Linked DNA regions of Coturnix japonica. The protein of the gene in region 1 purifies or fractionates together with the protein of each later gene. This does not show direct contact. Links are inferred from orthologs where the notes say so. Each region holds a gene or a part of one and is shown in the gene's direction. Other genes may lie near its edges.

Region 1 (3,561 bases):
TGGCTTTCATACGAGCTTCTCCAACTAATTTTTTTGAGCTTGACTTACCCAACTAGCAGCTGCATCTTTGTATTTACAATAAGAAATCCTTATTGATTGCAGAATATCAGACTTGCATCCTCTCAGTTCCAGTGCTTTTACCAGCAGTGTTTATTTTCTTGTTAGATAAACATTCTTCTGATCTCCAAAGTTTGCGTAGGCACATTTACTTTCAGAAAATTGTAGTATGTGTATAACTGTACAGTGGTGTGAAACAGTAGTATTTGTAAACAAACCCTTAACTCAGTTTTTCTACATATTAATGCAACTGAACTTTTGCTTTTTTTTTTTTTTTTTTTTTAGTCTGCAAGCAGGAGGTGGAATAGAGTTATGCTGGAAAAATGCATAGGAAATAGCATTTGAGAGTACAAGTCTGTTTTTCTTTTAATGGTAGAAAAGTGTTTCCTACGTTTTCTTCTGCAGAGAAGTTAGAGTTCTATAGCATGTTGAATTTTTTATCCTTAGCTCTATTTGTAAGAAAGTACATTTCTCCCATGACTTGTTGTGTTTGGAAAAGCAGAGTGCAGGCCATCTGTCCTGGCCTTAAATGATGATCAAATAGAAATTATCCAATGTAAAGGTACTCACAAATGAAATCTGAATCTTAGATTTGCAGATGAAAGCAGCTTTTCAACAGAATGTCTTTTCTGATGTTCTGCACCAAGGATTTTTTTATTAAAAAATAGTAAACGATTACTATTTCAGTGTAATATTGTGCGTATGAGGTGAACTACTGTCAACGAGATTACCAGCGCTATTAAGAATGAGTAACACTGCAAACTCATAGTTGTAAGAAATGTATGTTTTTAATTCTGGTACTAACTTTGACCTCATATTGTCTTCTGTATAAACTTACCCTCTGTAAAGCTGTTGCTAATCAAGCATTAATCAGCTGTTAAAAAAAATCACTGCAAGATTTGGCTGGAATAGTAAACTGTGATAGATGAGCCTCGCATTAAGCTTTTTGAAGAGGAAAAAAGAATTGAGTACCTTGTTCAGAGGTTTTATTCAAGTGTTACAGATGTAACAATTTTTTTTATCTTCATTCAAACAGTATTGTTCTGTTAATCTGATGAACAGACTAACTATTTCTGAGTCCCACGGTTTTGAAACATCTAAGCAAAACAGTTTAGCTTATGAAGAGTTGTATTATTTGTTTAGAATGTTTATTAAAAAAAAAGTACTAAAGGAATAATCTAAATAAGACAAAGGTAGCAAATCAAAATGAAGATGTGCAGACATCTAAGCAGCTGCTAATATCAGCAAGACATGCTTTGTTTCAGAACAAAGATGAAGAAGCAGTTCCAGGGACACTGTGGCCTAAGTATGACAGTTTAGAAGTACAAACTTCTTTTGTATAAACTCGTATGATATAGATTTGTAGTATATACTCATTGTTCATCCTACTGACTTATAGATTATACTGGAAGCATGTACTTGTTCTGATTTAACAAAGGGAGTCGAGAAAGCCATCAGGTAGATTATCTTTAACTAATGAAGTGGAAAATTAAAACACATGCTGTTGCACAGCAGAGGATAGGAGTGAGAACTGTACACTTGTTCTTTATCAAGTTTTCATAAAAGTTTATTGAAGATCTATTGAAAATACTTGTTCACAGTAAAATACAGAAAATACTTGATCACAGTAGAAAGTATGACTGCTGTGATCACTTGTGGTATATATTCAGTAACTATGTGGCTAATGCAGGATTCCAATTTGAAATCATATATTGCAGTAATTACACTTCATGAAATTAGCCTTTTGCTGGAGTTTAGCCACAGGATTGTTTTCAGAACAGCATTTTGACACTGAGCCCTCTGTTCCATTAACACTGGTGTCACAGAGTTACCTCTATATCTGGTTGAGCTGTGTAGCAGAGTGCACAGCTGTGGTGTTGTATTGCTCCTTGAATTGCCCAGCAATCTTGTGAGTTCAAGAATATGACAGCCAAATTTTAGATTGTTCAAGAAATATAAAGTGATCTTCATTTGAGTGGTACTGATTTTCAGGAAGCACACGAGCAAAAAGGAGTATAAACTTAGCTTGCTCTTAAAGAGATTGATTTATACTGCATGTCCTAAACTGCTTAACTCATAAATGTGTACTGAAAATGTGTGTGTGCTTCAGAGACAATGATGGAATGTATGTCAGCTGAAGCTTTTAAGATGCAACTAAATTGGTTTAATAATAATCATATGCACTTCCATGTCAGATACCATTTTGTCAGACTACCCCTTTGCTGCCATTTGTCACATGGCAACAACATACAATAGAATATTGGCAGGGAGGTTCAGCTTCTACAGTCATACCACTGACACTGCCTCTGATGTTATTGACCAAGAGAATAAATGGGAGGCATTACTTCAGAGCTGCCCTAATACTTTGGTCTTTTTTCTGTTTCTCTGAATGGTATGCTGTCTTTTCTCAAGTTTTGGAACCTCTGTAATACATCTGTATTGTGCTTCTAGAATTATTTTAATACTTTCTCTTATTCAAGGGTCACGATCAGAGTTCTACTCTTGCCCAGCACTCTGTTGAGTTGACGCTACCCAATCACCATCCATTTCACAGAGATTTGCTTCGCTATGCAAAACTCATGGAGTGGCTCAAGAACACAGATTATGGAAAATATGAAGGGTTAACAAAGGTATGTGAAGTGCTTGTTAATGCTACAGAATTTACACAGTAGACTGTTTTGAAATTTAAGAGTTACCTGTGACTATGTGTATGCTCTGTTAATATTCCTTCATGCTAAATTCACTGTTCTTTTATTTCTCTTTGGAATAAGAAATGTCATGTTCAGTAGTTGTTGTATGACAGTATCCTGTATTTGTTTTTTTTTTCCTAAGATGTTTTGTCTGTTCTGAAGTGTCGTTTGACATTAACCCCTGTGTAAAGCCAGTTTACCATTTTACAGTCTAGTAAGATAAATAATTAAGCTATTTTCATGTTGATGTGCTTGTTCACCTTTATGACATTTTTATCTCAACAGCCTTTATTCTCTTAATTTCATTTGACTGTCAAAAACTTCAGAAGGTTTTTTGTAAAGTAGGTCAAATAGGGACGTTTTGGCTTTGCGTATGTAATTGTTGACTGTCTTGCATAAAGCTTAGATGAAGTGGAAAAAAGTGTTCAGAGGTCAGAGGAAGATTGTTCCTTAACTTCCTTTGGCAGTGTTACAAACTTGAATTTGGAATTCTTTGAATCTTATAGTAAGCACACAAAGACTGCGCATCCTGAAGTTGTTCAGGTCTTTTGTTTTTGTGCTGAAGGTGTAATTAAGGAGGACAATGGAGGATGTTTAGGAGTGGCATGCTACACTGAGACTGTGAACAATGGAGCTGAATTCCCCCCATTCTACTCTTGAATTAAATTCCATAATGCTCTTCCATCTGTAATCCTATCTGCATCTGTCACACTATACATGTTTCCTTGCAGAGGTGCAGTAGTGGTTTCTGGGGACATATGACATACATCTGTACAGTCCAAAACAGTTAATAGTTATTCAGTAGAACTTGCAC
Region 2 (4,342 bases), on another chromosome or scaffold:
GCACTAAGTAAACAGTGCCAGGGGATCCTCGTTAATCCTGATCATTCATTTACAAAAAGCCATTTAGAGCCGGCTATGTGGGCAGCTATCAGAGCACTGGGGAAGGTTTCCCAGCAGGACCTTAATTCCCTCTGCAAATAAAGCCGGAGGGAGGGAGAGCACAGCTTGTGTCTGTGCTGGGCTAGTGGATGGGGTTGTGGGGGGGACTTATGGGGCCAACCCTTAGGGACTGATCCCAACCACCTTACAATGAGCCAAGGGCCGAGCTCTGCTGCTTCATCTTCACCTTTGCTCCTTGGCAGTATTTGGGAGCCCAGCACCCCAAACCTCCCATTGCTGAGCAAGGGGGCTGCGATGCCATTTGAATGCTGCATCCAAACAGCACGGAGCCATCAGGTTCTGATCAGATCCCAACCTGCAGCTTTAGAGCAGCGCAGCAGCTTTGCTCGGTGCCAAATGGACTCAGCAGCCCCAACCAAAGCACGGTGCCAACTCGGCCGTTGGTGACACCCTCCCATGGAGCAAAAGGAGCAGCATTCCTCCATGCACTGCTGACTCACTGCCTTTCATCCTCCGCAGGCGGCAGCTTCGGCGCGGAAAGAGATTGTTGGCGGGGTGGGAAGGCGGCAGCAGCAGGCGGGATGGGATATAAACTGTGTTATTGCCTTTCAAGATGCAAAGGGTGGCTGAGGGGAGCAGCAGGGCCGTGTCACAGTGCTCATATCTCTGCCTGTGTGGTGCCACTTTGGGGCTGTGGGGTGGGAATACATTGCCCTTCATGCTGGTCGGCACACAGCTGTGTGATAAGGTGGATCATAAAACCCACCTGTTGTTGAATAGAGACCCATTGGGCTGCCTCAGCCTCACCAAGCACAGGGTGGGCTGATAAGGGGAAGATAGATGGGGACACAGGTCCAGCCCCTATAGCAGGAGGTTGGGGTGCTTGGTTTATGGCACACACAGCAGGTCTGACAGCAGCAGAGGGTGCTGGGTCACACTGGGGCATTCCCTGTCGTGCATCCCCTTCCTGCAATGGGTGCATTTCCTAGCAGCACACAATAGCAGCGCACACTGAGCTGCTGCATTTCCTCCTTCTATGGGCAGCCCCTGTATGAGCCCAGTGCAGTGACAGAGCACAGGGGGGTGGGATGTGCTCTGTGATGCCATACAGTAAGTAGAGCAGGACTGGGCCCAGCCATGGACCCAACCCTCCTGCAGGACCACTGGTCTCCTTCCAGGTGCCCGCCCTGGAGCCGCTGGGACCCCCTCGTGTCTTTCAGTGCATTGGGGTCACTCTGCACATCCATCCCGGCAGATAAAGGGTGCCATATTAGGACACACCACGCCCCTCCCAAGATGGCGGCGCAGCCTGTACGCCACACCCAAGGTGGCGACCAACAATGCGCATGCGCGTTACTCCCCCAATCCTCTTTCCGGTTCCTCTATGCCGGAAGCCATTCTCTAGATAGCGCTTTGGCTTTCTGCGCATGCGCAACGTGCCTTGCCGCACCCAAAATGGCGGCGCGGTGGTGGCCGGCCGGAAGTGAGTTGTGGTAGCGGGGTTTGTGTGTGGAGCGCGGCCCTGGCGCCCCGCAGCACCATGATCCCAACAGAGGAGATGTCGGCCCGCAGGAGGGAGATCGAGGACAAGCTGAAGCAGGTGGGGCTGGGCTGGGGTCAGTGCTTGGAGGTGGGGTTGGGCCTGCGGCTATCAGGGGCCTGTTATGTCTCCTCAGGGTTCATGGGTGTCTGTGTGCGGCCTACCCTGTGCTCGGTCTCCCAGCTGTGGGTGTGTGACCCTCGTTTGGTGTATAGTGAGTTCAATGCTCGATGGTCTGAAGTGAAAACTGCTTTTTATCGTGACTGCAGGAAGAAGAAACGCTGTCCTTTATCAAAGAGAGCCTTGAGAAGAGCGACCAGCTCACAAAGAACATGGTGAGGAGCTCCTGGAGGTGCAGCCTTAATGTTGGGTCAGGGGCTGTTCATCCTTAGGTAGACTCATGTTTAAGGGTGGTGTTGTACTTGTCTGAGCAATACAGAGTAATAAATCACTTGCTTTTACACCCCACAGGCTGGTTTCCAACCCATACTTTCCCTCCTTGGGAGGTGTGGGTGCAAAGCAAAGGCTTCATGTCCTTACAGTCTGTCCTTTCTCTTCTTGAAAGAGCTGCGTTTTGACCCAGGAGGGATGATGTGAAGTCACCCTCTGTGGGCTTATTTTCCACAGTTCAGAAGTGACAGACCCTTTTAAAAGCCAAATACTTGCAATGTAAAAGGACATTAATGCCACAATGTGCCTTTGTGTTGTCTCTGTTTTACATCTTAGTATTATGGAGCAAAGTGGCTGCCAGGTTGTTTTTATTGATCTCTTTTATCTAAGGCACCTCCAGGCATTTCCAGTGGCTTTGTTTCTTGCTATCAAGTCAAGTTTTGCTCTCCCTTAGTGCTGTTTTGCATGCTTTACAAATGTAAGGATGGTCTATCTTTGACAGCAGGTGACCTGTATTGTAATTATTCATTATTCATTAGGACATAGAAAGTTTAAACAGCCTGCCTTAAGGGGCCATGGAACAGAAGTGGGGCCTGAAGGTGCCTAATTGCCCTATTCTAGCTACTAACCCGTAGTGTGAATTCATGTGGAGGGATGTCCTCAACTCTTTTTTTCTCTCTTGACATGTAGGTTTCTATCCTTTCCTCCTTTGAAAGTCGTTTGATGAAGCTGGAGAACTCGATCATCCCTGTCCATAAACAGACAGAGAATCTACAGCGCTTGCAGGAGAACGTGGAAAAAACCTTGTCCTGCTTGGATCATGTCATTAGTTACTACCATGTGGCAAAGGACACAGAGAAGATCATAAAGGAAGGGTGAGTTTGGTAGCTAGGTCTTGCTGGGGTGCTTCATCCTGTCAGTTCTTGGGGCAGAGGTAGGCGCTGACTCCACACACTTTGTCTTTTTCTTCTTCTGATCCTTTTTATTTTTGCTTTTATTTTTAGCCCCACTGGGAGGCTGGAGGAGTACTTGAATTGCATGGACAAAATCCAGAAAGCAGTGGAATACTTCCAGGACAACAATCCAGACAGCCCGGAGCTGAACCGTGTGGTAGGTCGCAGGTCTGGAAGCTTGCATGGGTAAGATAGGAACAGCCATAACCCTGCCACTTACCCTCTGTGGGCAGTGAGAGGCTGGTGGGCTTGCTGCCTGATAAAGAATGTGTTTGGGCACAGCTGAAGAAATGATTGCTTTGGTTTCTGTCCTAGCCCGACAGCAATTTTGCTTGGTGATATTTTGTTCTTTTCATGCTTTATATACTGAGCAACTCCCAGGCAATTCCATATGTAACTAAGTCATTAAAAGTCTCTTAGCTACAGGCACTGGAGTTTGAAGCATGCAGTACTTGACAGTGATTAGAAACGCTGCAGAAAGTGCAATCTCATGCAGAAAGACTTGTGAGTGACTGATTACAACAACCCTGTTCTGTCCTCTGCTGGTTTGTGCCAGAAATCCCTCTTTGAGAGGGGAAAAGAGTCCTTGGAATCAGAGTTCCGCAGCTTGATGACGCGACACACCAAGCCTGTCCCACCCATCCTCATCCTGGACCTGATCAGTGGAGATGATGAAATGGACACACAGGAGGAGATGGCACTAGAACACCTCCCAGAGAGCGTCCTGCACGACGTCATCCGTATCTCTGGCTGGCTGGTGGAAAATGGCAGGAATCAAGGTGGGCAGAGCTGCGTGGTGTTCCCTTGTAGTTTTGTATTGAGTCAGTGCTCTCCACTGGTCATCACCTGAGGGCCTGAGGGCAGGGTGTTGGAGCTGCAATCCTCTAGTGCTCAGATATCACAAATGTGCAAGGAACTATGACTTTCTCCCTCTTGTGAATGATTAATGAGCAAACCGTTTTTAATTAAACGTGACCAAAGAGGGCTATAAAAGCAGCACAAAAATATTTTCTTCAGTCAATATATCTCCTTTCTGTTTTGCAGCATCAGAGTTTACCTGCATCCTTATATTCTATTACTGACTTTTCCTTTGGTTTGGAATGACTTAGTGGACCTGTTACAGGAAGGCTGTTCTTTCACATACATGCAGCTACTAGAGCTACCCCCACTGCAATGATTTAATTCTGAGTGGGGATTACTGTGCCAAGCAAGTGTGACAAACAGCCTTAAAAGCTGCTTAAGAATTTTTCCATGATGAAAGGAAGTAACTGAAGTATATATGGCTCATTCTCATTAGTCAGTTTATATTCTGCTTTCAGACAGTGAACCCCCCCCCCCCCATTTAATCTCTGTGGGCTGTGAAACTTGAGAATTATTTGAGGTTTTTCATGCTGGCAAT

The links. The genes of interacting proteins can lie anywhere in the genome.
Region 2: the proteins of EXOC1 (region 1) and EXOC7 purify together in Homo sapiens (affinity purification with mass spectrometry; 4 studies listed by BioGRID and IntAct, counting the BioPlex papers as one, with this or other methods). This does not show direct contact. The link is inferred for Coturnix japonica from reciprocal best matches to the Homo sapiens genes EXOC1 and EXOC7.

The regions. Positions count from the first base shown.
Region 1 is NC_029519.1:58,597,746-58,601,306, reverse strand, and holds part of EXOC1 (exocyst complex component 1), read left to right. Parts: intron 1-2,537; coding exon 2,538-2,687; intron 2,688-3,561.
Region 2 is NC_029533.1:3,918,602-3,922,943, forward strand, and holds the start of EXOC7 (exocyst complex component 7), read left to right. Parts: upstream 1-1,490; 5' UTR 1,491-1,600; coding exon 1,601-1,660; intron 1,661-1,869; coding exon 1,870-1,935; intron 1,936-2,680; coding exon 2,681-2,865; intron 2,866-2,994; coding exon 2,995-3,100; intron 3,101-3,499; coding exon 3,500-3,722; intron 3,723-4,342. UniProt on the Homo sapiens protein: Component of the exocyst complex involved in the docking of exocytic vesicles with fusion sites on the plasma membrane.